Bombyx mori: one gene and its partner. The protein of the gene in region 2 purifies or fractionates together with the protein of the main gene of each other region. This does not show direct contact. Links are inferred from orthologs where the notes say so. Each region holds a gene or a part of one and is shown on either strand. Other genes may lie near its edges.

Evidence for each region.
Region 1: the proteins of RNA-binding protein FXR1 (region 2) and protein lingerer purify together in Drosophila melanogaster (affinity purification with western blotting; 3 studies listed by BioGRID, with this or other methods). This does not show direct contact. The link is inferred for Bombyx mori from reciprocal best matches to the Drosophila melanogaster genes Fmr1 and lig.

The regions. Positions count from the first base shown.
Region 1 is NC_085134.1:1,833,565-1,850,032, reverse strand, and holds the start of protein lingerer, read right to left. Parts: upstream 9,669-16,468; 5' UTR 9,516-9,668; exon of another isoform or gene 9,110-9,515; intron 2,123-9,109; 5' UTR 2,076-2,122; coding exon 1,959-2,075; intron 1-1,958. Other genes in the region: TIMELESS-interacting protein, read left to right, coding at 12,524-12,671, 13,354-13,497, 13,817-13,953, 14,239-14,432. UniProt on the Drosophila melanogaster protein: Acts in the nervous system to mediate the control of copulatory organs during courtship.
Region 2 is NC_085112.1:15,601,707-15,617,966, reverse strand, and holds the start of RNA-binding protein FXR1, read left to right. Parts: upstream 1-7,963; 5' UTR 7,964-8,081; coding exon 8,082-8,132; intron 8,133-8,500; coding exon 8,501-8,553; intron 8,554-8,650; coding exon 8,651-8,804; intron 8,805-9,310; coding exon 9,311-9,474; intron 9,475-11,225; coding exon 11,226-11,393; intron 11,394-13,318; coding exon 13,319-13,405; intron 13,406-14,587; coding exon 14,588-14,735; intron 14,736-15,340; coding exon 15,341-15,484; intron 15,485-15,879; coding exon 15,880-16,017; intron 16,018-16,260. Other genes in the region: uncharacterized protein LOC119630931, read left to right, coding at 2,668-2,765, 3,204-3,424, 3,683-3,775, 3,881-3,973, 4,671-4,739, 4,827-6,985. UniProt on the Drosophila melanogaster protein: Polyribosome-associated RNA-binding protein that plays a role in neuronal development and synaptic plasticity through the regulation of protein synthesis of mRNAs.

The DNA of each region.
Region 1 (16,468 bases), on a different chromosome or scaffold from region 2:
ATTGATTACATATGACACACCTGGAGTTTTATAGTTTAAACCACACGTATGAAGAATATGATAGCGTTCAGTTCGGTAATACGACCCTAACTATTTCCCTTTAATAGGCATCCCTTACTTAGAGGAAGAGGTAGACCTAAGATTAAATGGATGGATTGTGTGAAAGACGATATGGGCAGGAGGGGAGTGAGCGAAGAAATGGTATATGATAGAAGAGTATGGAAGGAGAAAACATGTTGCGCCGACCCCAGGTGACTGGGAGAAGGGCAGGATAATGATGATGATGATGATGAGGCATCCCTTACTTCTCTGTCACACGGAGGCCCTAACTTCAATTTCATTTAGGGTAGGAAAGAGATGAATATATATCTAAGATGTTTTATTAAAACGCAATGTCCACTGTGATTGTGTTGACCTATATTTGCGTCTATTGAATACTGATTGTTGAGTTTATCATAAATAAGCACTCGTCGGTTTCACCTGAATATTTCTCTCGCGAAACGGCAATTTGAAAGATGGGAATTGTCTTGTCACTTAACATTAGGTGAACTGTTATTAAGAGAGTAAGACTTACACAGTTCATTTACATTTAACTACATCACGATAGAAGAAACAAATATTTAACAAAGTCGTGTGCTCTCTGACCATTAAAAGCAGTGTCGGATTAAGCAAGCGCGGGTCCGTAGCAAATTATTTCAAAGAGCCCTTGATCTACTATGGGTTCTTAAGTATAAAGTGGTAAAAAGCTTAAATCGAACCATTTCAATTCTGCTACACATCCACACTGTGTCGGGTAAGAATGCTTGCATACGTCAGACTTTTTGTAGAGCTGATTATCAGGCTGATTGGCCCGTAGCAATTGCTACTCTTGCTATATGGTTAATCCGGCACTGATTAAAAGTAATCAGGGATTAAATTGTAACTGTATAGGACTTAGAACTCATATCTCTAGGTGGATAGCGGCATTTACATTGTAGATGTCTATGGGCTCCAGTAACTACTTAACACCAGGTGGGCCGTGAGCTCGCCAATACATCTAAGCAATGAAAAAAATATATATTCACTACTACACACAATACGTACTAGATCGATATTGAGAGCTTGTTCTAAGTTCAAAGTTCGAAGTTTACTTATTCAAAGAGACTAGACTTATCAAAATACCTATTATGTATACAAAGAGCACATTAAAAACAAACTCAAATCTACAGGAAATAAATCCATTCAAATACCTAGTTATATCTAAATTAAATAAAACCGTGTGCATAATGCGAGTTTTTTAACGTTCTCGATAGTGTAAAAGTTAACTCATATTTGTATGGATTGAGTAACGTGACCATACGTCCCGATTTTGGCGGGATAGTCCCGCTTTCGGGCATTCTGTCCCGTTGTCCCCAGTGAGGCCGACATAGTTCCGCTTTTTCAAACAGACCAAACGATAAATTTATTTTTCAATTCAATATAAAGCTAGAAGTGTTTAAATGGGCTAATTTAACAAAAGAGGTACAGACTATTACAGAGTACTAACTATTTTTTGTTTAGTGCTTTGATTCTTTTGTGTTATTCTATCTTCTGTAAGAAAATACTTGTAAAGCACTAAATACTTTTTTTTATTATATTATATTTTCGCAGATGTCCCGCTTTGACAATAAAAAATAATGGTCACGTTAGGAATGTGGTCGTTTGCGTACGTTTGCCGCTAGGGGCGCTGTTCCGATTGCATACAAATTTGACTTAACTTTTACGCTATCGAGAACGTTAACTCGCACTAAGCACACCGAACCATAGTTCAAAGTTCGAAGTTTACTTATTCAAAGAGACTAGACTTATCAAAATATATACGAATACGAAGAGCACATTAAAAACAAACTCATTTCGATAGTAAGTAAATCCATTCAAATATGTACCTAGTTATATCTAAATTAAATAAAATCGAACCGTAACGTTCCGAGTTCACTGACCTGCGGTTTGGCCTTCTCCTTGGGCTGTGGTCTATCTGCGCCCTTGCCCTTGTCGGCGGCGTGTTTGCCCTCCTTGCCTTTCGCACCACACTTGGTGGCGCGCGCTCCCAAACTCATTGTTAACTAAATTTATTTTTATATTTACAGCCTCTATTTACAAGCAGCTGTGGACAAAATGAGCTTTTGTTAATTTGTTTTCGATAAGAGGTTTAATCTAGATTAGAGATTCGTTTCGCTTGTTTCGGTACAATTATGTTTAAATATTATGGAAGCAAAAAACTAAAATAAAGATGGCGCTCCATGATATTTTGACACTGGAAAAATTGTCCTTAAAACTACGAGTATTATATAACAGCAACAACGAAGTTTATCTCCAATGTGGAATGTAGTCGGTACGAGCTTGTCCATATTTTTTACCAACTTCAAAAAAGGAGGAGGTTCTCAATTCGACTGCATGTATTTTTATTATATTTGTTACCTCATAACTTTTGACTGGGTGAATCAATTTTGATGATTATTTTTTTATTAGAAAGCTGAGGCTTCCCGTGTAGTCCCGTTTCAATTTAGTCCAGTTCTGATAATGGTATCCATGAGAAAACCATGTAAGTCTTAAATTTGCATTAAGTACGTGCGCAACAAACAGATGATTAACTCAATATCATGCCAACCGATTTCGATGATTAATGTTTTTAGTTAATTTGTTTTGGAATATATTTTTTTCTATTTGAAGTCGGTTTTTGTTAAAGCATGTCTATTTACAATCATTTTTGTAATTACAAACAACCAATTTTTTTTTTCTAACGATATCTCAATTGGGCCATTGAAAATCGCACTTAACAGCAAAACGAATGAATAAGAAACTCAAAATTACGGCGAACGGTGGTCTGTTACTAATGGAACCTTTTTTCAGCTCACATGGCCACCCTGCTTGGCTAGGTGGAACATCCCTTTGTAAAATTAAGGGTGCGACCGCGGGCACGTATTCATATTGTGGCGTCTATGATTTTGGATACCCATATCAAATCAAACAGTTGGGCCTCATGTCCCAAAATAAAATAATACAAACTATTACATCAAGATGAGAATTCGACAGAAGGATATCTTTGATTTTACGCCGTCAATATTCCCAAAAATATATCTACATTTCAATAGTGTTTGATACAATTGGCAAGGAATCAAACATTGCTCTCTCACATCTACCGCGTTGTACACAATATCATTGTGTGACATTAAGAAGGGTTGTATCGAATTCGAAAAACGGATGCATCACTTCACGGCAATTGGTTAATAATACATATGCAATCGCAAGATACATCGTTCGATAAGGGTCAGCGTGCTTCTGTTGTAAAATCTGCACAAGGCCAATCGGACGGTCGTAAACTTATCGACTGGACTGGTGTAACAAATGGACCGTTTGCATACAAAGTATTATACATTAAGATTGTATCTTTGTCTGCTAGTTTGTTCGTGTTCTATGCGTTCTGTAAAACCGGATGGATTGTTTTTTAACAGGCTTTTATTAGCTCGGCCAATGTTCCAACCTTGTTTCTATGCATCTATGTAACGGAATCTTTGGACGTGATTTACAACCCCTTCAAAATGTCAAAGTTGTTTGAAACTGGTCACACTCATCAAGGACCGATGACAATACAATAATTTAATAAAATTGTTCGATTATCCTATTCAGCATTTTTAGGTTTAAAACTGAAAATACGGTACGAAATAATAATAATCTGTTTTTTCCAAGTGATGCACTAAAAAGCCAATTCTTCTTTACTATGAAATTATAATCGTTAGAGATCAAGTTTAAAAAAAATGCTTTTTAACGTTTCTTAGCGTGTTAAATAAGCGTACAGCCCATTACATAATCATTAAATATTATTCAGTACAATTAAAAAAAAAAACATGTGCCGGTGCCTACGAGTATTTCTTTTAAAATTTCTTTTTGCAATCATTAATTATATAACAAAAACAATGTGCGAAGTAATTGAGAATCTTGAACGAAGCGATGTTAAAGAAACAGTTAAGGGACAGCTTCCATAGCGTCAGACCATTAAGAGCAAGTGGTTGTGCATATCTGTTGCTTCCCTACCTAATAGGTCTAGGAAATCTTTTTTGTTATACGATTATGTCTACCACTCCCACGTACTTACATCTATTGGTATTTTTATTAAAATAAATTTAATAAGGAGGAACCTTACCTAAAATTATGGTAAATGCCTTTTTTACATTATTCAGGTATTCAACATACGCATGAGTAAAACATGAGAAAACCTAAACGTTGAGACGCAGCTGGTATTTTTGTATTTGATCTCATCTCAGTGGCGAAAACAGGAAAACACTTTTAGTAGAAAACACAGAAATTTTCTAAACTAGAATTAATTTAATTTAAAAAAATCTTCGTCACGTCTCAAAGTCTGGAATTTAAAAGCTTTTATCACTAGTATCAGTTACATAAGATCGACGGTTAGACTTGGACCTCGTCAGCAGATTTGCTTACTAAAAAATGTGAGCAAGCAAATTTGATCCCTATTCAATGACGAATATCTTCGTCAAGTCAACCGTCCACGTTTTTGATTTAACCAGTCACGACATTCTAGAATTCTCTAGAATATAATATACCTTCTAGTATAATGACGACCTACTGGCGTTTTGGCGATTTTTTTGACATATTAGCATTAGTCACTGATTGCATATTAATTTTGTTGTTTTTTATTTGTTACTAGCTGACCTGGCAGACTTCTTAGTGCCTCAATCGATAAATAAAAGACCCTAAGCTTTTGTATAAAATAAACTTAAAACATTCAAAAGAAATCCGTCTGACGGGACGCATGAAAGGAAAAACAAAATTGTTATTTTTATTTAATTCAGAGTATTTTCATGTTTATTTACCTTTTTAACCTTCTCTGGACTTGCACAAATAATTTAAGACCAAAATTAGCCAAATTCGGTCCAGCCATTCTCGAGTTTTAGCGAGACTAACGAACAGCAATTCATTTTTATATATTTGTTATTCTGTTTGATTTTTAATATGTAAGAACGATTATTAAAGTCCACAAAAAAAGTGATTGCTTTAAAATGTCCGAGTTTATTTAACACAGAGGGTGCAGTTTTTGTTATACGATTTTAATTAAAGTTAGCGACTTGCTCAACTTAAATACCTGTGACTTTTCAATGAAAGTACATTATAATAATTGTTTTATTTGTATTATTCAGAATATTTATTCTTAGGCAATACACAAGAAGCTTTGGTATTGAATTTCAATCTTTTACTTTCAAAAGTGAGGGAGCATCGCCTATTAAATTTCAATCTTGGGGGTTTCAATTTTCACCCTATTAAGGGGAACATTTTCAAAACGTCGATATATATACACGTATTTATTTCTACCCACATATCGTTCTTCTTACTTTAAAAATGATGAACTTCTTTGATGAAAACGTTCACCCGTTATTATTATTTTTATTACATACTACAGGTGAACAAACTTACTGTCCACATGCAGCTAAATAGTTATCAGAGCTCATAGACATCATGATATGAAGCCTCAGCTTCAAGTGGCTGTTCCAAATTTCTAAAGCGCATTTTTTTGTAACCTATGCTGATAGCCTTGAGAACCTATTTCGGTGTTGCCTTAGCGTGTAGGTGATCTCTGGGGGCTCAAACCGGAGGTGTTGCTAACACTGGCCCTAGCAAGAGCAGTGCTTCGCAGAATCTACCACCGGATCGGAAACGTGACCCACTGAGAAGATCCGCTGAGACACTCAGTGGACTAAAGCGCATTAATGCTTCATGTAAATTGGCAGGGTAGCGGTACTCGACCGGGTATCCGTAAATGGATTCCCCAGCGTTAAAAAAGGGTAGCGGTACAAACCCGTGGGGGCTGATTAAGACACCCTACCTGACAATAATTACGCAAATTGTAATTATACCGGGTTCGTTTTCTATTACATGATGTTACATTTACATCATTTACATCGGGGAGAAAATGATGTACACCGATTCCTACCCTCCATAAAAAAACATTAAAGCTTAACTCATTTTCAGGTCACACATCAGATATAAACAATTCAATTTTACATAAGAAAAAATACGTTAAAAAAACAGTAGTGTTGTTACTAAACTTTAAGACCTCGACAGTTTTCTGGCCTTATGACTCAAGCGTTTGCCCCCAAAAGCTGATGTCTAGATCTTAATATAACGAACTCATACACTACTGCGTTAAGCATTAAGCATACTGAACGTAAATCTTTAATATGAAGTTGATTTAATAGAACAAACTGTAAGGAGAGTGAGTACATACTGCATGACTGATTTTGGTATACTTTAGTTACATACTTGCACTTATCGATGACAATTATTATTATTTCGAAATGTACAGGCATATTTTTCTTTATTTCGTTTCCCTACCTATTCGCTGGTATCCTAAGAGGCTATTCCCGCTTCGCGCGGACGGGTCGAGTCATTTTTTTTAAATATTTGATTTGAATATTTCCCATAACTGAAACTTTCATCTACAATAAAATAAAATAAAATGTTAGAGCCAAAAAAAAAGCAGATCTAATTGTTACTTTTAATCCCTTTCTTTTGATTAATAATATTTAGTGATTATATTTCTGTTTAAAAGACAAAAAATCCTGATTATATTAGAAATACGAATACAATTTAAAATATTCAAATCACGAATACCCGATCCAGACTCTGAGCTAGTGAATTGACTTAACTTCGCAAAAACACGCTACACGTAATAAGAGATTCGTAAGACGATACGTTTCTTATCATCAGTGAGAAAATATTTAACACAAGGCGTTTTTATTCGTGCGCTTTCTCAAAATCATGACCAATCACTTCATAAACTCATGTACAGGATAATATTACTAATTAAATATGATCTGCCTTTGAAATTCGATTTGGTTTTTAATCAAACAATATTAAAATTAAACTTTTCTTGTTTTATTGATAATTTTCCTTTGATTCATGAGGAAATTCTTGATGTATTTAATGAATTCGTAAAATTGGGTTAGCTCTAACATTTCTATTGAATATTACACAGTAAGCTTTTGCTACTACAGAACGAGAAAAACATTGGTATAGTCAGTGAATGAAAGATTACCAATAACAGAGAATAATTAGGAATCAACAAACCCCGAGGTATTTTTATTAAAATATTCATGATATCCCAAGTATTATTAAGAGAATTGGCTTACAATGGCAAAAAAAGTTCCAATTTACTACTAAAATAACTACTACTTTGGTACAGAAATAAACAATATATTAAAATGTTTTGCATATAGATTTTTTATTCATACAGTTTTGACTTATGCCACATTCAGATAAATTGATTGTACTGTTGTTCAATTTGAAATAAAACAATTTTCTGTACAAGCCTTTTAAATATAAGATCTCGATTTGATTGTATGACTTCTATAAACCAGAAATATTTAAGGAATTTGAGGAAAAAAAAATAGAAACAGAAGAATTGTGCAATGGATGATGAAAGAAGTCATCAAACTAAATACAACCTTCAAAAATGAAGATACAGACTCGGAAGAAAAAGAAAAATGAACTTCATTTAATTATCATAAGACTTAAGATTGTTGAGCGAGTAAGAATGGAAACATTTTAAGCCTATTAATATTTTATATGGATTTCGATGATGGTCTTGATGAAAAATGAATAATTCAATAGGTTCCAAAATTGCAATGTTTCATGGGCAATCAGGAAATTTTATTTTGATTTTTATGTTAATTTAGTTTAGTTCTTTAAATTTTTATTTAGCATTTATTGTACTTTATTTAATAGGAAAGTATATTACCAACTTTATGAACTAACAATAAAAATATTATTATGAATAAATTCATAGTACTAAATTATAATAATATATGATTAAGATAATCCCAAAGTTCAACAAACTTTATCAGTTTATATACATTGTCAAAGTTTGTAAACAAATCAAGTCCCCAGACACTACTATTAATTATGAATACAAAATCCAATATATCAATCACCTCAATGTTCTTATGATTACCAACATTCTATTCTTGTGCCACAGATGCAGATTTTATTCTTTTGTAACCTTTGGTAACAATAATACGTTTAAGACCTTCTTTCCAGAAAAAGAAAGAATATTTTCGATTGGAACTGTTGTATTGAACATGGATTTTATATGTTTAAAATAAAGTGGATTTTTTAGTTGTGCAAAGCTTTTAATATTCTTTTTCAGCATGGCAACAACATTCTACATAACGTAAAACCTAGCTCGTTGGCACAACGTGATATTTTGTGTGGAATTATTATACCAGGTTTATTGAATGAGATAATTATTATAATTAAATTGAAATCAAAGAATATTTAGAAATTACAGTGTTATGGTCAATTATATATTCATTAGTTAAGCTGTATATTTGTTTAACAAATGATCCTGAGATATATTTCTGTAATCACAAATGTAATCACTTACTTTCAGTTTGCTCATTTTCACAGAAAATTATTAATACTAAGAAGAAAACGGTTTTTTCATACTTCATAGTGTTATGACAATGAAATTTTTGAGGTCGCACTCAAAATTTAATTACATATTGAATCCTACCACTAAACTAAAAATTAGCCTACTTGTCTGTTGTTTTACTGTAAAAAACTATCTAATCGTTAATATATAAGAACCATAAATACCATAAAAATAATTTTAATTCCATTCCCGCCATTATTAGTTATTGATTAATTATTTTTATTATAACTTTAGTATTTTATGAATTTTGACAATATCTTATTGGACTCTTATAACAAATGTACCTACGTAATAAATTATATTTCGTTACAGGATTTGGCTTGTATTATGTAATTACATTCTGGAAGAACAGGAAATCCGAAATTTCCGATTATATTCAGTAGGTACCTGCTAAAATGCGAATCATAAGAAGTCTGAGAAGATTGTAAGTCTTATTGGTGTAATAAATACATAAATACGTCATATGAATGTAAAATTAAATAAAATATTTAAATCGCTTGTACGAAATAAATGCATACACAGCGGTAAAATTGTAAACAAAACAATTGGAAGTATCTTCGGAAAAATGACTATTTCCCGTAATAAAGCTTACGTAACATCAAAATAAACATTCTTTACGAATTATTTACCGCCTAAAATATTTACCGGTGGTGTTATTTCGGCGTTATCCGCAAAATTACGAACAATGAATCACTGGTCAAGTTTTTGAGACAGCGCAAGGATTTAAAGGTTTTACAGTAAACTCTACCGATCAACAGACACATGAATTATTGCACGCCATATCAACATTTCACGTCATCAAATTTTAACACCGCCAAGGCGAAACTCAATAGGGCATCGGCACATGTGGGGGACGCCATTCTTGAAGCACCATTCTTGGTATCAAAATGACAGCCTTTGTCGCAAAAATAACCGTGCACAGCACAAATCAACATATCTTTCATATACACATCAACACAATATGCACAACTATTTAATATTCTTTACCTTAAATCTACGGTACAGTCCGAAATTTAACTGATTTTGTAATAAAATTGACCGATTTCCATACCTGTGAATGCGCTCAAACGCAAGCTGGTCACGTGACTCCATAGAGTTGTGACACTTAAATTTTTCGCAACAGTTACGGTTTTTATTTTTTAGTTTTATAATCTGTGAGATTATTTTTATGAAAACTAATATTTTTATTTACGCGTTAAAAATGCGCGTTGGCCACATTAAGGTTACAATACCGTTAAGACTTCATTCCTCGTGAATTAACGCACTAACACACAACACTCACAATGGAGCTTGAAGCAGCTAAACTAGTTGTGACAGTGAGCGTCATAAATTATTTTATGCATTTATACAATTTAAAAAGAGAGAAAAAATGAAAAAAAAGAAGTTTGAATTCAAGAAAGATGATTCAATTGCAGATTTTGTGTATTTATTTAACGTTAAGATGCAGGTAGAGCAGTAGGATTAAACTTATAGCAATTGAATTTTTGCAACAAAAGTTTTGAACTTCATCAATTGATTGAAAACACCACGAAATAAACGACGACTTTTTTTTTTTTTTTTTTTATTGCTTAGATAGGTGGACGAGCTCACAGCCCACCTGGTGTTAAGTGATTACTGGAGCCCATAGACATCTACAACGTAGCCGCGCCACCCATCTTGAAATACAAGTTCTAAAGTCTCAGTATAGTTACAACAGCTGCCCCACCCTTCAAACCGAAATGCTTATTGCTTCACGGCAGAAAATAGGCAGGGCGGTGGTACCTATCCGTGCGGACTCACAAGTGGTCCTACCACCAGTAATTACGCAAATTATAATTTTGCGGGTTTGATTTTTATTACACGATGTTATTCCTTCATCGTGGAAGTCAATCGTGAACATTTGTTGAGTACGTATTTCATTAGAAAAATTGGTACCCATCTGCGGGATTCGAACACCGTTGCATCGCTTCAACACGAATGCATCGGACGTCTTATCCTTTAGGGCACGACGATTTCAATGATTATAATTTTATATTGCTTGTAGCCCACAAGTAACCTGTTCATTTATTTATTTTACATTTAGAAGAAGTAGATCATCAAGTTTTTCTGCTTTGGTAGTTAATAGATAATAATTATAATAAAAAATAATTTTGCTATGAAAGTTAAATTTTGAAAAGAGGACCGGTATTATTATCCCTAAAAAACGATTGAAGTCGATTAAGACACAGGACGTTCGTTAATTACCGTAAAATGGGGCGATTAGGGACAAATTCCAACTTTATGAGCAATTTTAAGGTAGTTGTTGATGTATATAATGCTATATCAGGATCAAAATGATTGAGTCTTGGGGGCATCTTTGTTGTCTAATTTAAAATTATGCAAGTAGCATTCCAGTTTAAGCAAAAAATGCAAAAATAGGTGTAATCCCTATTTACCCGGAAATTGCGGTTAATTGGGACGAAATGAGAAATTTGCTAGGGTTGGCACTACTTTTATTTTTATATATAGTTTTAATTAATTTATTTATTTAGTTGCACCAACAAAGTGATCGTCAATAAAAAAAATTGAAAACTGACAAAAGTACATGGCAGACATCACCTCAATTATAGGTGCAATCGACAGTGCAGTAACAACAAAATATATATATATATATAATAATATGTATATTTACACATATATAGTGGGCTTTCTTAGAAACGGTTTATATTTCTCCGTTCTTGGTAAGTACTTAGGGGCTGATATTTCTATCTGGGTTAAGAGATTAGGTGTGTCGGTTATTCCATGGATTAATCAGATGAATACCCCCACTCTGAACAAATATTAAATATTTTATTATGTATTACTTACACATTTTTGTCCACCTTGATATTTCATTGATATTGTTACATGTCTCTGCAAAATCGACTTACTTATATTAAATTGCTTATCTATTTCAACTAAAGACTTATTCCCAATTTCGCTTCGATAAACCAGATTTTTACCAACAAATTAAAAAAATATTGTTATAACTACATAGACAACCCTACAAACCTGTACCTATTTATACTTAGGTTGTTTCCATTTCAAGTATTCTCATCCCAATTGACCCCTTTTTCGTTGTTATTTGTACCTAAGACGTCCCCAATATCCCCAAAAACAACAGATTTTTACATGTATTTTTATTTAATCAAATACATTAAAACCAATAACAACTGAGACTTACCTTTAATATATATGCTGGTTCAAACACTAAATAACGTTTATAAATCATAGTCGTCTTCTATTATTATCAAATAAATAAAATAGAGCAAAGTTTCTAGCACTAAAATAATTACCACCACAGGAAGTTAATTTGAAACGCGATTTTTTATAAGTTAGCAGCTATTATCATGCATATTCAGAGTTGTTTTGTGAACTTTCAACATTCTACTATTAAACTACAAAAAAATGGAAGATTTTGCAACGAATATAAAACTTATATTGAGCGTCGAAAGATTTTCCCGGTTTTTTCCCGATTCGCCTTTCAATCCCTAATCGCCCCATTCTACCGGTACTTTTATTTAAGTCACGAAAATAAAAAAGGCATCCGTTCAAAAATTTGATATTTTTTCACAATAATCAGATTTTATTTTCACTCAAGTCAATCCTAATTTTTTTTCGAGACGTTACAAAACATGATGTTTTGATTAGGACATGAATATTTAGCCATCTGGGAAATATGCTTAATTATGCTTCCTATTTTCACAATCATTCTTTTCTTCGATCAATTACTGATACCTAGTTTTCGAACACTGCCATATACCCATAGATTATACACATAATATATTTGAGATATATATACCGCCAAAACATATGTGGCTGTTATTAAAATTTATTTTGTCAATTAAAAAAAAGTTCTAACCTCAACGTATGTAGGTATCGTAGGTGTATTAATATTTATTTTGGTTCAGACAGAGTACAGTAATAGAACCAATATAACGTTAAATTATAAGTTACAAAGAGCTATCGATATACAATTTATTACAATTATACACTACGATCGTGAAACCTACAGACGTATACCCTGTTAATAAACAAATAAGCATATAACTGAATATTTAAATGTCTCTTTTGGAAGATGTGTTCCTTCAAGATGAAGCTAATGAGGCTCGGGAATTGGAGCGGGTAATCGACGGTGACGAGTTTGACGACGATCAACGGGCATCATCACCAGATAGTGATGATAATAGCGCTAAAGGAGACGAAGCCGGTAAGTACTTTCATGTGTAGCTGGGTATTATTAACACAATTTTCTAGATCGATTCTCTAAGCGATAAGGCACGTCGATCGTACATACCATTTGTTATAATTTTTTTATTCGAATCGAAGAACATAATGTTTAGTGCAAACTAACACACAAAAAGTATATCGTCGTTGTCAAACCAAAATCTGCTATGTGCAACTTTTTGAGATTTTTACTTTTTGACCGTTTCGTATAGTTCACAGCCCTGTCTACCGTACCAAAAAAAAACTGTACTGTGTCTATAGCTTTAATATTTATCTATAGCTTTCATTTGATAAAGTTCTTAAAAATTAATCTTTATATAAAATTTTGTACGAAAATGTTTTTAATCGTTCATTCAAAATAGAGTTTTTGCACATAGCAGATTTTGGTTTGACAGCGACGATATCCTGAAACAGATATATGGTTTATCTTCTTCTTGATAGTTTCACCCTTGACAGAGCGGTTGTGACGGTCATTTAATGTTGGAGAGGACAGATTTGACGAAACTCACGATATACCGCTGTCTCTCCCTGCTCGAGGTCTTCCTACTTCACTCATTCAGGGGACCTTCCACTGTAGTTTCTGCCTTAAACAGCCGTAAAGAAATAATGCACCTAATACTTAACTTAATGATTTCTGTGTCAATCCAGTTATCAATGCTTTTCAGAGGAGGATACTAGACGTGTAGATCCACAAGCCAAAACAAAACGTGTTGTAAGGAATCCAAGGTTCATACTGAACCCCGCTCGTCTGACAGGGCCAAGAGGAATACAAGTTATACCTGAGCATTTCAAAGATTTTAAATTTAGAGGTAATATTTTAATTAAACAAATGTTTGCTATTAATTTAATATCTGCACAGACTAATTATATTCATACAGAAAAATTCTAACTTTATATTGTTGCTATATCAAAAAAAGTATAGTGAAATTGGTTCAACTGATTGTGAAATGGCCCACTGAAATGATACACTAACTATTGATTTAATTAGATGATATTATCAAATGTATATTACCATTTTATAATAAATTGTTTACGATGATAATTAATTTTTAAAATTTAAACAAAAATACATTTTAAGGTTTATTGGAATTACAATTTAATAATTTTGTATCCTGTTATAAATTACAGGTAAAGGTCACGAAAAAGAAGATTTAGATTTAATACTCAAAAAACTAGAGCATTGGGCATATAGATTGTATCCTAAATTTGAATTTGAAGACTGTTTAAAGAAAATAGAATCACTCGGCAAAAAGAGACCTGTAATGGTAAGAAATCTAACTGTGTGCATCATTTTGGCAATAGTTTTACATTATATTCATCTTTGAATTCCTCTGCAATTTGATTCACTCACTTTTTATGCTAATTATGTATTGTTGTTTCATCTGTTTGTAATTAAATGTGAAGAAAAGTACATTCTTATGTACACTGAATTTATAAAGGTTGGAGAATGATGCTTAAAAAATTGGCATAGTCAAATACAAGCAGTAACATTGAGCCAATGCTTTTCAATATGGACTTAAAATTAAACAAATATAATTTCTCCTCTACAGGTACATCTATGCAAAATTCGTACAGATCAGATTACATCAGAAGAAACAGTGGTACAGAGGGATTCCAGTGAAGATGAGGCACCACCACAAGAAGAAGACGAATTTGACAAATTACTGCAAGAGCAAATTGCACTGGCCAGGTCCACGCCGGCTCCTGAATCTGTAAAAAAAGTTCGAGACAAGCCAATGAACATGTAAGTATTATAGGAGTGGTAAATCTCAGACAGCTTATTTGAAATTAATATATCAACACCATTTAATGATATTTAATTTTTAAAATCTTTTTTTTTTTTTTGTCTAACCAAACTGCCAGAAGTCTCAGGGAAATTCTAGCTGCACTGTGATTGGGTGACCAGCACGAGATCTTAGCAAGAGCGAGAGCATTGCTTTGCGGAAAATACGCAAATATCTACATATGTATTTAGTAATCCTGCAACTTTCCGAGAGGATACTATTTTTTTTTTTTTCCTACCTAAGCTGGTAGCCTAGAGAGGCTATTCCAGCGTAACCGTAACTAGTAGGTGAGCTCACGGGGCTCAAACCTGACGACGTTGCTAACACGAACCCTAGCAAGAGCCGTGCTTCGCAGAATCTACCACCGGATCGGAAACGCGACCCACTGAGAAGATCCGGCGAGAAACTCAGTAGGGATACTTGGGGTCGACATTTCGAGCGATGTCCAGTTTCGGAGTCATTTGGAAGGCAAAGCCAGGTTGGCGTCCAAAATGCTGGGAGTCCTCAACAGAGCGAAGCGGTACTTCACGCCTGGACAGAGATTTTTGCTTTGTAAAGCACAAGTCTAGCCTCGCGTGAAGTACTGCTTCCATCTCTGGGCCGGGGCCCCCAAATACCAGCTTCTTCCATTTGACTCCATACAGAGGAGGGCCGTTCGGATTGTCGATAATCCCATTCTCACGGATCGTTTGGAACCTCTGGGTCTGCGGAGGGACTTCGGTTCCCTCTGTATTTTGTACCGTATGCTCCATGGGGAAGTGCTCTGAGGTATTGTTCGAGATGATACCGGCATCTCGTTTTTACCACCGCACCGCCCGCCACCGGAGTAGAGTTCATCCATACTACCTGGAACCACTGCGGTCATCCACAGTGCGTTTCCAAAGGTTTTTTTTTGTCACTTACCATCAGACTATGGAATGAGCGCCCCTCCACGGTGCTTCCCGAGCGCTATGACATGTCGTTTTTCAAACGAGGCCTGTAGAGAGTATTAAGCGGTAGGCAGAGGCTTGACTCTGCCCCTGGCATTGCTGAAGTCCATGGGCGACGGTAACCACTCACCATCAGGTGGGCTGTATGCTCGTCTGCCTACAAGGGCAATAAAAAAATATATATATGCGTAATACGCGAGAATAAACTCAGCTTTTTTTTTATTGCTTAGATTGGTGAACGTGCTCACAGCCCAGCTGGTGTTAAGTGGTTACCGGAGCCCATAGACATCTACAACGTAAATGCGCCACCCATCTTGAGATATAAGTTCTAAGGTCTCACTATAATTACAACGGCTACCCCACCCTTCGAACCGAAACGCATTACTGCTTCACGGCGGAAATAGCCGGGGCGGTGGTAGCTACCCGTGCGGACTCACAAGAGGTCCTACCACCAGTGATTACGCAAATTATAATTTTGCGGGTTCGATTTTTATTACACGATATTATTCCTTCACCGTGGAAGTCAATAGTGAACATTTGTTGAGTATGTATTCCATTAGAAAATATGTTAGTGTTATGAGTTTAAATTTTGAATTCTTCGGGTGTCGAACGCGAGTTCGAGGAGTATGGTAAATAGTGGTCGAAATGCCTAAAAGCACCAATGCAATCCGAAAGAACGCATCTGAAGTCAACAACAACTCTAACATGGCAGCACCTATCTGTCACTTTGTCATGTCTATCTATCTATCTAATGTGTTGATAGTGGTATTAAGAATGTGAGTGAATAGGTATTCATTAAATCTTGGCTTGATATTGAATGCCCTGCATTGTGTATAAATGCAGGTGTCTATGGTTCGTTCTTCCCTTTCCTCTCGGTGCCGTTGCACGGTATGCACGCTATACTTTAAGTTCCTAATTATAATATTTACTAGCTGACCCGGCAAACTTCGTAGTGCCTCAATCGATAAATAAAAGACCTAAACTTTTGTATAAAATAAACTTAAAACAAACAAAAGGAATCCGTCCGACGGGGCACACATCAAAGGAAAAACAAAATTGTTATTTTT
Region 2 (16,260 bases):
GATGACAAATAAATAACGTTTCGAATTTTCGCAGTCGAACTTTCATAGTTTGCAGTATGTAGTATGAAGTATGTAGTGAGTATAGTACCTACGGATAGAGAAGCTTAAATTACGAATATTAATTGAGAGTTTTATTTTAGTTTAGTTGATTAATAATAAAACTTAGATTCTAAAATGCTTTCATAATAGTGACCTTGCAATATCTAGAAAACACTGCATTATAAGATTAATTTGTCAATTCAGTTCGTCGTGGTTTAAATGATAAGACGCCTGGTTTCATCGTTACAAGCGATGGGTGCGCTGGTGATCAAATTCCGCATGCAGTAACGTGTTTTCTAGGGAAATTTGTACTTCAGACGGGCTAACAAACTAGCTTTAGAGTAAAGAAATAACATTGTGCAATAAAATCTTATGAATAACTAGCTGACCCGGCAGACTTCGTAGTGTCTCAGCCGATCAATAAAAGACCTAAAATTTTGTATAAAATAAACTTAAAAAAAGAAAAGGAATCCATCCCGACGGGGGACACATCAAAGGAAAAACAAAATTGTCTTGTTTTCATGTAATTCCGAGCATTTTCATATTTATTCACCTTTTAAAGCTTCTCTGGACTTCTACGAATAATTCAAGACCAAAATTAGCCAGATCGGTCCAGCCGTTTTCGAGTTTTAGCGAGAATAACGAACAGCAATTCATTTATATATATATATAATATAGATAGAAGATTGGTGGCCTATTTCTGCGGCGAAGTAATCTTGCGTTCCGGCTTAAAAGGTAGGGCAGCCGTAATGCTGTACAGTTGATCATTCGACCCCATGTATGAAGTTGGATGGCGGCATTAATCTTGTGATGCCTATTGGCTTGATTTTATAAAAGATTATCTGAATCTGATATTTATTTACTAATCAAAATAAACATGTGCATATATTCTATATTATTGGTACAATAATGAATGGAATATCACGAAGGGGAAAATCACCGAGCATAAATTCATGTCTGTGTTACTAGCGTAGCATTTGTATGTTCATTGATTATTACTAGGGCATCTAAGGCAAGTCGTCGTGGCCTAAAGGATAAGACGTCCGGTGTATTCGTATCTAGCGATGCACCGGTGTTCGAATACCGCAGACGGGCACCAATCTTTCTAATGAAATACGTACTTAACAAATGTTCACGATTAACTTCCACGGTGAAGGATTAACATCGTGTAATAAAAATCAAACCTGCAAAATTATAATTTGCGTAATTATTGGTGGTAGGACCTCTTGTGAGTTCACACGGATAGGTACCACCATCCCGTCTATTTCTGCTGTGGAGCAGTAATGCGTTTCGGTTTGAAGGGTGGTGTAGCCGTTGTAACTATACTGAGACCTTAGGTCTTATATCTCAAGGTGAGTGGCGGATTTACGTTGCAGATGTCTATGGGGTCCGGTAGCCACTTAACACCAGGTGGGCGGTGAGCTCGTCCACCAATCTAAGCAATAAAAAAAACTGGAAATGTCCCGGATTAGCTCGACACAGGTAACAGAAGAAAAAAAATTCCCGGAAATTTTCCCAGAAGGCGATCGGCAACCCATTAGAGCTGCTTGTCAAAGTGTCTCTGACCTACTGGCTAACGAACTTGATGTATTTGTATTGAGTGATGATAAAATGTTAAATATCTTATCCAAAAGCAGGTGCAACGCTTTGTAGTAATTACGTATTAACCAAACTTTTTACAAATAAATTCTGAAATGGACATATAACTTTGTTCTAAAAAACAAAACCACAAAAAATAAAACGTAAATATTTGGTGCTACATAGCTTCTATTAATTTAAGCAAGTCTCACTATCTTTCCTCTGTATTACAGCGAAGTAGTGCGGCGTTCCAGATTGAATGTTGGAACCATAGAGTTACTGTTGTAGGTACTTATTAACTCCATGGTTGGAACAGCGACCAAAATTAAGATATGTTGCGTGGTGTCTATGGACTCAGACATCATCTTTAACCACTACTATTGAATTTACACTTTAATTAAGTAGCAAAATTACAGTGGGTGGAATCTCCCATACATATTTTTTTTATATGGGATGAGATCCGAAGTTGTGACACAACACAGTGTTACCGAGCTAATTGGTTTAACAGAGTCATAGTAATTTTTATCAATACGTGAACATTGAATTTGAAAACAAACCGTACGTTCTCTTTACTTATTTTTATTAATAATATAGTTTTCTTTGCATTTCTGTAATGCTACTACTACTCCTGCGTCTTAACGCGTTAATTAGTGCGCTAAATTGGCATTACGCACCTAGCTATAGAAAAATGTAAATTTCCTTATGGCAACACTAAACAAAATGCCGGTTAAGCTTTGTTGTTTTTGTTTGTTTTGTCGTTTATTCATTTGGTTTTGATGAATAACACATTGAGTTATTTAAAAAACTAAATGGCATTTTAATTTTTTAATATCGCTTATAAGTTCACGTTGATATTTTTCGAGAAAAGACTTTGTTCACAAAATGATTTTGTAACGTGTTTTTTTTTTCGTGTTAATTTTAATATTTGCTGTTAAGAAATTTACTCCTCCTGTTTGGTCTTGTTTTTGTTTGTAAATTGTAAGTTATTGTTGTTGAGAAACTGACTCCTGTGTTGTTTAAATTTTTTGCGCCTTTTGCAAACTTTTTAACATGCCTGATACTCATCGTACTTGTGAAGTTTGTGGTATCAAAGAAAGACATCTTACTGAAAAACGGTTTTTCGCAAGGTTTCCTCTGGATGTCAATAGGTGAGTAAGTGAACTCCTTATTTGAATTTCTTTAGTAGATGGGTTGAAAGGGGTATGGAAGTATCGTCATTTTTAGAATCTTGAAACTTATTATTTAGGCTGTTGATTAGATATAAATAAATATGACAAAGTTTGTATGGAAATTCGTAATTTTTTAATCTAGAACCTTGAAACTTTTTGATGATGATTGATTTTTTTGCTTCTAGTCAGATATATGTAAATAATAATGTAATTTTAAGTTTTTAAATCTTCACCCTCGAGGGGGTAAAATAACAATAAGAAATAGGGGATAAAAGTATGCAAGGTATTGTGGGCACAGCTATTAAAAAATACTTCAGTAAATAATAGATACTTAAATTTGAAAAATGTATATATTTTAGTTTATAACAAGACCTATTTTAATTTAGTAGTAAAACTAACGCTCATTTTGAATTTTAGATGTAAACAATGGGTAAAGATGGTTGGCAAAGAAGATCTGGCTTATCTTCAAGTACATATGCTACATGATTTAAAACATGTTTGTGAAGCACATTTCTCAAGACGAGACTTTACAAAATCAAAGAAGCGCTTAAAAAAACGAGCTGTACCCAAACTGAACTTGACACTGCCACCATTGAGAGATGAAATTCTTCTTCAATTTTTGCAACTCAACTCGCAAGGTAATTGGGTACATATTTTCCATTTTGTACATTTTTTACAGGATTGAAATTTTTTTTGTGTATAAAAATTTATACTATGTAAAAATTTGTGTTAGCTCAGTTGGTACCTAAAATGCTCACTTCTCGCACATATGTCTACTGCATGGACCAAAGATAGTTTCTAAGTCCATTTATATCTAGACCACACTTTGAAATTCAACATGCTCTTGAGTGTAGAATAATTCAAAGTAAATTAAAAAATGTATGTTTTTATATCAGCGGATGTCACCCCACAAGGCCAGTTCGAGGTTCAGGCCGTTCCTAGTGCTTTGATGCCAGCATCCTCAAGTCAGCCTAGCGGTCTAGAGAAAAGTGAGAATCAGGATTGTTTAAATTTATATCAGCAAGAAAAGAAATACTAAATTTTAATCTTAATAGACATGTGTAATAATTTAAAATAATTAATTTAATTTTCAGCTGATGTCACCCCACAAGGCCAGTTTGAGGTTCAGGCTGTTCCTTGTACTTCAATGCCAACATCCTCAAGTCAGTCTAGCAGTCTAGAGAAAAGTAAGAATCGATTTCATGAAAGCAATTCTAAATTTTAGTTGTAACGAAGATCTGTAAAAATAGTTCAAAATTCCTACTAATATTATAAATGCGAAAGTAACTTGTCTGTCTATTACACTTTCACGTCTAAGCCACTGAACCCATTTTGATGAAATTTGGCACAGACAATTTGTAGACAGAGAAAGGACACAAAATACTATTATCAAGTGATAGTACAGGGACATGCGATATAACCGAATCCCATGCGGGAGAAGCCACAGCCGAAAGTCTAGTTTAAATAAATGAATATAATTTTTTCAGCGTATGGTTCTGGTTGTGTTTATTTAACAACTAGCGACCCGCCCTCGCTTCGCTTAGGAAACTGTCATTAATTATTGATTTCTCCACTATTTAATGGATGTTATTATACATATAAACTTTCCTCTTCAATCACTCTATCTATTAAAAAAAACCGCATCAAAATCCGTTGCGTAGTTTTAAAGATTTAAGCATACATAAGGACAGACAGATAGATATAGGGACAGAGAAAGCGACTTTGTTTTAACTATGTAGTGATACAACATGTTTAGTTATTGTTTTAGCTATTTTTTTTAATATTGTTTATTTGTATTGTACTGTTGGTTTCCCTTATAAATAAATAAAATATAATAAGATTATAATACATACTAATTCTATTGTACTTCATATATTTTTACAGACGTCACCAAAGGAAGCCAGCGGAAAGAAAGTGAAAGTCAAATAAGAAAAAGAAAATTAGAAGATGTTGGTGAGTTTTGTATTATTAACTCCATCTACTTATAGCACCACTTTTAACGATTGGTCAATAAGTATTAATGTAATTTTTTTGTTTTAGATGTTACACCACGGAAAAGGAAGCTCTTAAGTGAATTGAGAAAAACAAAGTGCACATTGGCATCATTAAAAAAGAGCGCGAAACTAATAGACAATTTATCGTCAGAGTTTCTAAAAGAAATTGTCACGTCTGCGTTGATAAATCAAAAGCGTAAGTCACAAGGCAAACGCTGGACTATTAAAAATAAAATATCAGCATTAGCCATCTTCAAGCGTTCACCAAAAGCTTACCGATATCTGCGATATCTCGCACCATTTCCGAGTATCAAAACATTGCAAAAATTAATGAAAAAAATACCTGTTGAGCCAGGTTTAAATACAGCTGTACTTGACCACCTGAAAAAACTAGCTCCCATTAAAAAAATAAGAGCAAAATTATGTTCGCTAGTCTTTGATGAAATAGCGTTAAAAGAAAGGTTAACTTATAGCGAAGCCACAGATAAAGTGGAAGGGTTTATCGATTATGGATATGAGAGGAAAGATGAGCTAGCAAATCATGCCTTAGTCTTCATGTTACAAGGTATTGGGAGAAAAATTAAACAACCGCTGGCATTCTATTTCATAAGAGGCACAGTATCTTCAGAAAAATTAGCAGTTTTAATAAAAGATATAATTAAAGAAATTACTAACTCGGGATTTCAAGTTTTATCAACAATATGTGATCAAGCGCCCACCAATATGGGAGCATTAAGTCTGTTAAAGGAGTGGAACAATGGTGGACATAATTATTTTGAATTTGAAAATAAAAAAATTTATATAATTTATGATATTCCACATTTATTAAAATCACTGAGAAATAACTTTTTAAAACAAGGATTTCTGAAAATGGGAGAATTGAAAGGTCAATGGAGCCATTTAGTTGAGGTAGAGGAACGAAATAGAAATTTTTTATATCTTAGCAAACTCAAATCAACTCATGTACAACCAAAGTACAGAGCTAAAATGAAAGTTAAGTATGCCGCACAAATATTTAGCCAAACAGTGGCTGCTGTTCTTAAATTATTAGCTACGAATGTGGAAAATGTACACCGATCAGATGAAATATTACAGACTGCTTTGTTAATTGAAAAATTCAATAAACTTTTTGATTATACAAATGGGCCATCAGGACATGCTGACGTAAAAAAAGGTATACGGGAAAACGTATCTGCTAAAACTGACCATTTAGCTGTTTGGACAGAATATAGAAAGCAACTGTCTACTTTAACATTTTTCAACCATAATGGCGTGGAAGCAAAAAATGTAAAGTGTGTTCAAGGCTACATTATATCATTAAAATCGCTGCGTGATATTTGGCTGGAAGTTCAGGATTTAGGATATAAGTATTTGAATCTACGGCAGTTAAACCAGGATGCATTAGAAAATTTATTTGGGTTAATAAGACAGCATGGTCAAACAAACAAGCATCCGACGTGTTCTACATTTATAGCAGCTATGAAAACCTCTATAATATCAGGACTTACCGCCCCTCACAGCAAAAACTCCAATTGTGAAGAAGACAAAAAGGAACTCATGACGGATTTTCATGATTTAGTTTTTGGGTTTAAAGACGAAGATGATCAAGGTCAAGATATTAATGAGTCTCCTAGTCATGTTTCCACAGAAAATGAAAATGAGGAAGACAACCCGGTTCTCAGTATACCTGAAGAAGAAGAATATAAAGAAATAGTATGTGACCTAGCAAAAATTTCAAATCAACCAGTGGTCTATATAAGTGGATATCTAGCTTCTGTTATTCTAAAAAAAAATGATTGCCAGGTCTGTAGAGAAACTTTGACAGTTGCAGATCCAGAGGAAAATAAGATTTATGATTTAATTAAATTAAGGGAGTGGTGGCAAGATAAGAAATGTTTGACATATCCATCATTGCAGTTGTGTCAAACTGTACACACTGCGGTTACAAATTTTGAACAGTTTTGTATCCCTAACCTACATAATAACAATATTTGCCAGTGGACAATTACTATATTTTATTCAAATTGTAATACAGAGTGGCTATGCATTAATCATCGTCAACAAATGTCAGACTTATTGTTTACAAAATTGGCTCTAATGCTGATTCGGCGACAGTGCCAGATAATTAATTTAAAGCAAGTTTCAAAGGAAGAGGATTTGGCGGACGCGAACAAAAGGGGTCAACAATATGGTGTTTCAAGATAATTACATAATTAGTTTTTATTTGTTTTTTGTAGAAAGAAGTTAACTTCGGGTTTGAGTTCAAAAAAAGTATACATTTAGAGATTTAGAACTTTATTTTTTTACTATTATAAAATAGAAGTTTTTAAAAATTTACTCTTCAAATGGAAATAGAAACGAATTGTTTTTTATTTAGCACAAAAATTTTCAAAACCTAGTTCGTTATAACATTATAAAACAAGGTTGAAAACCTCTACATGTATACTTATTGTACCTTGCATAAAATTAAGTAAATATTGGTTTATATTGTAAAATAAAAATTAAACATTTCCGATACAAACTTAAAATTTTTTGTAAGCGTTAAAATTCTACTTACAAATTTCATTAAAATTATACTAAGTAATAAAACATTGTTTTATTTCTTTTAAAATAATAAAGTTTTTATTTCAATATGCAATCCTTGCCTGCATTCGATATCGACAAAAATATCGATAATATTCGCATCATTATTTATTGGACATCGATATTAATGCCCATCACTATTTTTGACAGTGGTAGGATTTTTGTAGTCTGTGGTTGTTTTAATGTTGTCACCAGATCGGATCTGATCCCATACATTTTCATTTTGTAACGTTTACTATGAAGTGCGGACTCTTATAACGTAGTGATTATATACTCTTTGGCAAAATTAAATGAACAAGCAGTAAATTCAAATAAGAAACTTGGTAAATAAAATTTAATGCAGAATCTGGGGTGAACTTAATTGTTTATGATCGGAATCAATAGTTTTACTCGGAATTAGCTGAGTTTACACTGTATGGTGGCGTTAAGCTATACATTTGATTTCTATGAAATATCAATTCAGAAATGAAATGGTCCTCTGTATTTCTTTGTTTAAAAAGTGAATAGGTAACAGATTAGACACTAGATTTCACAGGGGAATTCCAAATTCAAAACGTATCAATGATTCATATTGTAAACTTATTTCACAGTGAAAGGCAGTGCTTTTAAAAATAAATCTATCATAGTCTATGCTTGAATTCTCTAAAGCGATTGGTCAGTGAACCGCTGCGAATATTCGTTCTCGTTCGGAAAACGCCAAATACGCTTTCAAACCAAAATGGAGGATTTGTCGGTCGAGGTGTACGGTGAAAATGGTGCTTATTATAAGGTTTGTAAACCGTGAAGTACGCTAAAATTTGAGTAAACACGCGTCCCTCTAATTAGTTTACAGATCAATCAATCGTAGCCGATGACCAGGGCAGTGATATGTCTTATACTTACAAAAATATTTTTCCGGGAAGATCTCTGCTGGAATAGACGCCATGTCCGTCTGACAGGGCGTGATTTTTCCATGTGTTGTAATAATTTTTATGCTTGTAGTATTTTTAGAAAATATCGTGCAGTAAATGGATGTCTGCTCCTCATGTGGTGATTTAACATTAGCGTATTTTCGCGTAAATGACCTAGTTATCACATCCGCAGCGCATCACCAAGTTGCTGTGGCTTTAAAATGTTCCAAAAATTCTTTATTTTTAGGCCATTGTCACCGACGTGCTCGACAACGAGGTTCTAGTAGCCTTTGAAAATGAGTGAGTTTATTTATATTTAGTATGTAAATTTATATACTAGTGTATAAACTGTCTTATTTTTTGTAAATTTATTGACTACGTTTGATTAAATTTTTAGCTGGCAGCCAGAATCAAAGTTTCCGTTTTCTCAAGTTTTCTTACCACCTAAAGACACTGGCAAACACACAGAATTTACTGAGAACCAGGAGGTGGAAGTATTTGCTAGGTCTAATGAGAAAGAAGCGTGTGGGTGGTGGACTGCAAATATCAAGGTATTGAATTACACACACATATATTAAACAAATCAAAATATGATAGAATTTTATTCTAGAACAAATGTTTTCGAAACTACCCTTCATCTTGTTTACTTGTACATGATTTTCTATTTTAAACCCTAATTTCTACCCTCCTTTTTGCTTTTTTGTTAAAAATTTTTGAAAACTTGCCCCAATTTAACTTAGTCTGTTTGGTTTTATTTCAAAAATATACTAAGATTTGTTGCAATTTAACTTCAACAAATTTTATTAAAATTTTTTTTAATTTAATTTATTAAAAGCGAATTAAACATTTGGTTACTTCAATTTAGAGTCCTTTGAAGTATTAATCCAGAAATACTGCCTGTATACAATATCAAATACAGCAAATCTTGCTATGTTAAATTCATCACATTGCATAATAATGTCTAGACTATATTTTTGTTTTTGTTTCTATAATAGTTTTATGTAGAATGTGGAATTAAGAATCATATATGCCAATAAAATGTCAATATTTTTTGCAGATGATGAGGGGTGATTTCCTTGTGATAGAATATCTAGAATGGGATAACTGTTATACGGAAATTGTGCCTAAAGATCGTCTTAGGGTAAAATTACCGAAGACCCCAATAGACAAAAACACATTTCACAAGTTTGAAATAACAGTACCTGATGAACTGAAGGACTAGTGAGTTATAATTTGAATTATAATATTTATAAAAAAAAAACATGCATCATATTGAATAACAATCACTTCCCAGTTGGAATAATGTCTCCATCATGCTATTATAAAAGTGGGTATAATGTATGCTAGTGTTATTGAAGTCCCATGCAGCTGTCAAGTGGTCTCTTACAAATTGGTAGCTAATGGGATAATAGAAAATCTTAAGATAGCTACTCTCCTGTAATATTTACTAATGTAATAAATATTTCATATACATTTTTAACCAAACATGACCACTAATAAAGCATATGGAGTAATTATTATTACATATAACTCTTACACATCTAACATTGTTGATATCATCTCTTTTGCTAAAGTAAAAATACGTAGTTGTTCACTAGGGACCACAAACAAACATATTAGAAGTATCATTAGTTGGTAGAAGGGAGATTGTGAAGGGGTAGGTACAAGAATTCAGTATCTGTTTTGAAATGTTCATATTCATATTATTCATATCTGTAGGTAGGGGAGTTTTTATATCAATGCTATTTAGACTTGAGTTGTTAAGGTAGAATGGATACATTGATACTAGTAATGTTAGTAGTTAGCTGTAAGCTGATCTGCCCAACATAGCAATAAGAAAGTTAAAGAATATGTGTAATGTATTCAGTCTGTGAACTATTTATGAATCTATTGAGTCTTAAATTAAATTCAACCCTCCTGTAAAGGTTCCAACTCCTAAAGTATGACATAATCTGCATTCATACTAGAAAAGATAAATTGAATTATTATTCCATTTATATATTGGTCAAAATTTTAAGAAAACAAAATTTAGTACCTGAAAAAAATTTGTTGCATTAATAAATAGTCTGATAACTTCATAAATACTAAAATATACCTAACTTTAAAATTGAATAGGAATATAAAGATCAATATGTTGACTAAAACTGAGCTTATGATATTTTTGGGATACAGGTGTTAAATTCAACAGTGTGGGCAAAGAGGATATGAATTACTTGTAATTTTTTGTCTATTACAACTTAAAATAACTTTTTAGTTAACATCGCTAAATGCTGGCTGGTGGGTTGATTCTGTTTGGACAAACCTTTTTTTTAAATGAGAAACATGTTTATTTGCTATGTCTGAATGGTTTATTGTCATATATTTAATTGTTTATAAATTTTGATGTCTTTTTAATATATCAGTCTGGTTCACCATATACCATACTACAGGAAATAATTGTTTGGGGAAAAAAATTAATTGAAATTTGTTAAATATTCAAAATTAATTAAAGGGTCAAGTCAAGCAGTATTTTAATAAATAAAACCATTGGTAAATAAACCAACTGAATTTATTATATTGAATACGGTGGTCACTTAAAGAAAAACTTCAAAAACCTCTCAGCCTTGTTACAACTATAAAATATACTACAAATTTGTGCTTGCTTGGGGTACAGCTCCCATAGGATAGCATTACATAGTTAGTATTTCCATTTAAATTTTATTTAGATATTCACATCATTTTGACTAGGTTTCATACTTTGTGGAAGTTCTGAGGTAAAGGAGAAACTTTAGCTCTGTTAATATCTTGTATAGCATGGAACACTTCAGGGAGGAATTGTTTTGGGGGTTCACACTTTCATTTTTACCTAACCATGAGTGCTATAATATGTAAGATCAAAATGATTTTGAATGGAAGAGTGAATAATTAGTCGGACACAAGCATGGCTGATGTTGAGGTTGGGTCGGCAGTAACTATATGGTGTACGTGTGCAGCCTCCACGACATCCACAGCGCGAAGGTGGAGAACGCGCACAAGGAGTTCCAGAAGGCGATCGGCGCCGCGCTCGTCTGGTACGTGCCCGAGCGCGCCGTGCTCGCCGTGCTCTCCCGCTGCGCCTCCTCGCAGCGCCGCGCCACCATGCTGCAGGAGATGCACTTCCGGTACCTCCACACCCCCACCCCACCCCACCCCACCCCACCCCACCCCACTACACTACACTACACTACACTACAGTTGAATATGCTATTTCGAAAAGGGCACATCTCTGAATATATAAAATGTTCAGGAAATGAAAAAAAGTGATTATTTTCTAAAGCAGTGTAAAATTTAAAATATTAACTTTAGAGACATATTTTAGTGTTAATTGGCAATTGAAAATTACTGGAATTATTATAAAATGGGTGTAGGTAAGCCTCAAAACTACATGTATATGAAAAAACCTATTTGACAAAATATGCGACATGTGCCCTTTTCGAAATTTCATATTCAATTATAAATGCTAGCATTACTAGCTTTATTAGTGTGGACGGTCTTAAAACTCATGCCACACGATAAAAGGACATGCTCCGACGATGTCACGTAATATAGGATTAAAGCAAGAAAATGGATACTATTATTATCAATCACTACATGTGATATTTGTGTTATAAAATCTATGGACCGCAGTCGCTCTATAACATGGCGTCCACTGTGATCAACTGTACTTGTCTATGTAAGATAAAAAAAGATGTTTCTCCCGCCTGTCGAAATTATAGCCTAGCCGATAGATGAGCACTTTGTATAAACTCTATTTGGGGTACTTGAGCGATCTGACTATTTGATTGAAATTTCTTTTTATTCGAGACCGCTGAGGTACTTGATGGGGAGTAACCACCATACTTCAGGGCCATTAGCAAATCTAGATCTGCAACCAAGCTGTAAGATAATAGAAATGATATCAGTCAACAGGGCAGTTACTGGTAATACTAACAGTTTAAATTATTCAGCAATGTATAGGTAATATCTTAAATATTAACATCTCTAAACGTAATTCGCGATACCCACATATACCATCAGAATTATCTATCCGGCCATGCATAGCCTCCTCCGACTTATTGAAGGATAGGGATAATGCTGAGAAATATTGACCATACATTGGTTAGTTACTTCACTTGATATTCATGTGTTTGAACTATATGGCCACCTACTCCATATCAGGTCACGATCATCACAACAACCAAATAAACGGGATATCCAAATAATAAAGAGACTTAAAATCTACAATAGGAATAGGTTAGCTTGTAACCTCACATTGGCAATGTTCGTAATTAAACACCGACTAGTACAATCCTTAGAAGCCGAATATGACACATAACTAATTGTAAAAAAAAATACATGTACTTGCCAAATTTTATATTAAGATTTAGTGTCTCGTGTCTTGTTTTAATTGATTGCAGTAGTAATAAAGTTTATTGTGGGACATGTATTGCGCGTTGTGGAAGCGATACCTTTCACTTTTCACGCAATAGTTCGCAGGTTCGGAACTAGGCATGTGCTGATAGATGTAGCATATTTCTTTTTCTTTCTTTTTTCTTCACATTCCTCTAAGTCATGTGAATTTTATCCAACTGCTCAAAGATGGCGGCTCATTGGGAATTGTTTCAAATCTTTGATCGCATTTACCACGTTTTGAATAAACAGATAAATTCATTTCGCTTACAAAAACAAAATCTAACAATTTCTAATTGAAGTAGACCGTAACAGCTGCTACACAATGTTCTTGATTGAAATAGTCATGGAATGCTGTTACACACTAATCTGTAAAAACAGGTATTGCTTTCTTCCATATATAAGAAGTTATAAATTACAAAAAATATTGTAAATCAGTAGATACATACATAAAGTGACTAGGACCAAAAGGATTAATCCTAGGACCAAAAAGGAAATTAGACAATTTAATGCACCGTAAATTCTGACTGAGAATATCTACTCACTGAATCTAATATTTAATATGGCATGGATCGTAGTCATGGTTTGGTTACATGCAAGAAAATAACCAAATGGTTTTGTTTTATATAGTAATAAAATATTAAATTTTAATTTTCAGAAATTTGACCCAGAAACTTATGTTATTGAAGAAAACAGAGGAGGCAGCGAGGCAGCTTGAATCTACGAAAATAAACAATCAGGGCGGGTGAGTCACTACTGTACACGTGCTCTCGTTATGATTCTCGAAAAAATCGTTTTTGTTTAAAAAGTGAGAAACTATTATACTTTCAAACAGTTTAAATAACCTACTGTGAAGTAGGAACCAGAACAAGTTAATTATATTTCTGATACATTCAATATTCAGCATTGAACAAGGATCTCAAGTCAGAAATGTTGACTTGTGGTCCTGTTTTGTTGAACCAATAGACTCAGGCTTATCTCAATATAAGTTTAATGGTTGAACAAAACTGGTGCTAACATTATCTGGAGCCCCCAGGACCGCCGGCCCTTTAGATTGTGCCGAGACGGTAGTATTAGGCTCTCCACATTTTTTACTCTCCTCTTAATTCTCTACATGAGTACACGATCAAAGTACGCACAAATGCAAAAAATGACTACACAACCACAACACTTTGATTACTGACTGTTGACACATTCACCTTTATTAATTAATTAACAATATTTAAATTATTATTTTTGAACAAAACTGAGTTAAACAAAAGGTTGTGTAAGGATGTTTTATTTTCCTTGACATCTGGCGCTTTGAATATTCAAATATAACTATATAATTGTAATATTTCTCTGGAATTAATTAATATACTTTAACTAAATTGCAAAGCACAATTTGTGCAAAATAAATACTAAGAAATTTGCTAAGTCAATTATATATTTTTTCATTAGTTGTTTTTATAATATTCCAAAGGATTGACAAAGGACAAAGGATTGCAGTAGAAATTTTTCTCAATTTAATTTCTTGGCTTTAGAACAAGTAATGATTATTTTATAATTTCTGCTGGTTAGAATTTTACACTGGTGTGTCATGTAGGACCACCATTTGGTTGATTTCTTGGTCTATTTGGTAATAATGGTAATTAATATCCGAAAGGCCAAATGCTCAAGTTCTTTCTGAATTTTATTTTAAAATATTTCTAACTTCGAGCTTGTGTGTATTTGTTTTTAACATCTCCTCAGTATGTTTGTGGTACACAATAAAAATGAAATTACAGGATAATATAAAAATTGAAAGTTTGACTAACTGCACACTTCAACTATGATCGTAAAAATTAATCGATTAATTTGATATAGCAGTAAAAATTATTTAATTTATTAATTTATTTATAGCAGAAAATCAATGAACAATGTAATAACAAAAATGGAATGTGCACAGATACACCGAAGAGTTCAGCGTGCGCGAGGAGCTCATGGGTCTGGCGATCGGCACGCACGGGGCCAACATCCAGCAGGCTCGCAAGCTGCCCGGGGTCTCCAACATTGAGCTTGAGGAACTCACGTGCACTTTCAAAATATGTGGAGAGGTAAATGTACTGTGTGGAAGCACGTCAGAGCCATAGCAGCAGGAACCTCTTAGATATTTCTTTAATACATAAAATATATCAGAAGGGGTAAATGAGTTACAAAATTGTTTGGTTTGTTTGTTCTTAAAAATATTGCTGTTGTTTTCCACTACTTAATAAAGCCTGTTGCTGTGGGAGCCAGGGGTGACAAAAGATAATTGTCAGTCCTTATCCAGCGTTCGACGTATCGACGCTTTTATTCAGTGATCTAGTTAAAGATTTGTACTTGTTGCTATTACGAGAAAGATTTTCTCTCTTACAACACTAACATAAAATACAATTATCAGTCAATTTGTCTCTGTTTTATGTGACAGAACAAAGTTTAGCGAGCATTTTACTTTTTTTATGAAAAAATAAACAATGTTACTTTAAAAGACATATAATGTAACTGGTAAAAGATAAAAATATAATGTTGCAAAGATGATTAATATCAAAAATATAACATGTTAAACCTTTAAAACCCTCTCCTGTAAAATGAGTAAGTTTTGAGATTATAGAGTCCTTGCTGCTGTGCTAGTAACTGGGACTACCGATGGGCTGTTGAGTAACGTAGTGCGTGCGCGCAGTCGGCGGAGGCGGTGCGGGCGGCGCGCGCCGTGCTGGAGTACGCGGAGGAGTCGGTGCGGGTGCCGCGACAGCTCGTCGGGAAGGTCATCGGCAAGAACGGGAAGCTCATACAGGAGATCCTGGACAAGAGCGGCGTCGTCCGGGTAACCTACCGTCCACACTATTTATTACATTTTTTATTTTTATTGCGTATATGGGTGAACCAGCTCACGGTCTCCCAATGTTACCGGAGCCCATAGACACATACAACCTAAATGCCGCTACCCACCTTTAGGTATGAGTTCTAAGGTCTCAGTATAGGCAGAAACAGGTGGGTAGTTGTACCTACCCGTGCGGGTTCACAAAACCACCAGTAAAAATACCTTAATAATTAATAATATAATTAATTAATAAGCACAGATTTTTATTTACTTGCTATAGTTTAAGTGGTTGTTTTAATGATTCAATGTATAATTGAATACAGACCTCGCTACTTCTATGTGTAGATTAAATTCCAATATTTGATAAAATTTTGTAAAAGATGAATATGTGTTTATAGGTGAAAGTAGAAGGCGACAACGAGCCGCAGCCGGTGGGCCCCCGCGAGGACGGCGTCGTTCCTTTCACATTTGTCGGTACTAAAGAAAACATCGCCAATGCTAAAGTACTTGTCGATTATCACATTGCGCATCTCAAGGTAAGACAAGACGCGAGCGTGCTTCTAGAGCTTAACTGATGTAAGGCGGGCTTTGGTGTAATCGATGATATTACTGAATTATTTCAATATATTTTTCCTTAGCTGAGAGCCTTGGTAGGCTATATCAGCGTAACCTTAACTAGTAGATGAGCTCCGGGGCTCAAGCCTGAAGACGCTGCTAACACGAACCCTAGCAAGAGCAATGCTTCGCAGAATCTACAACCAGATCGGAAACGCGACCCA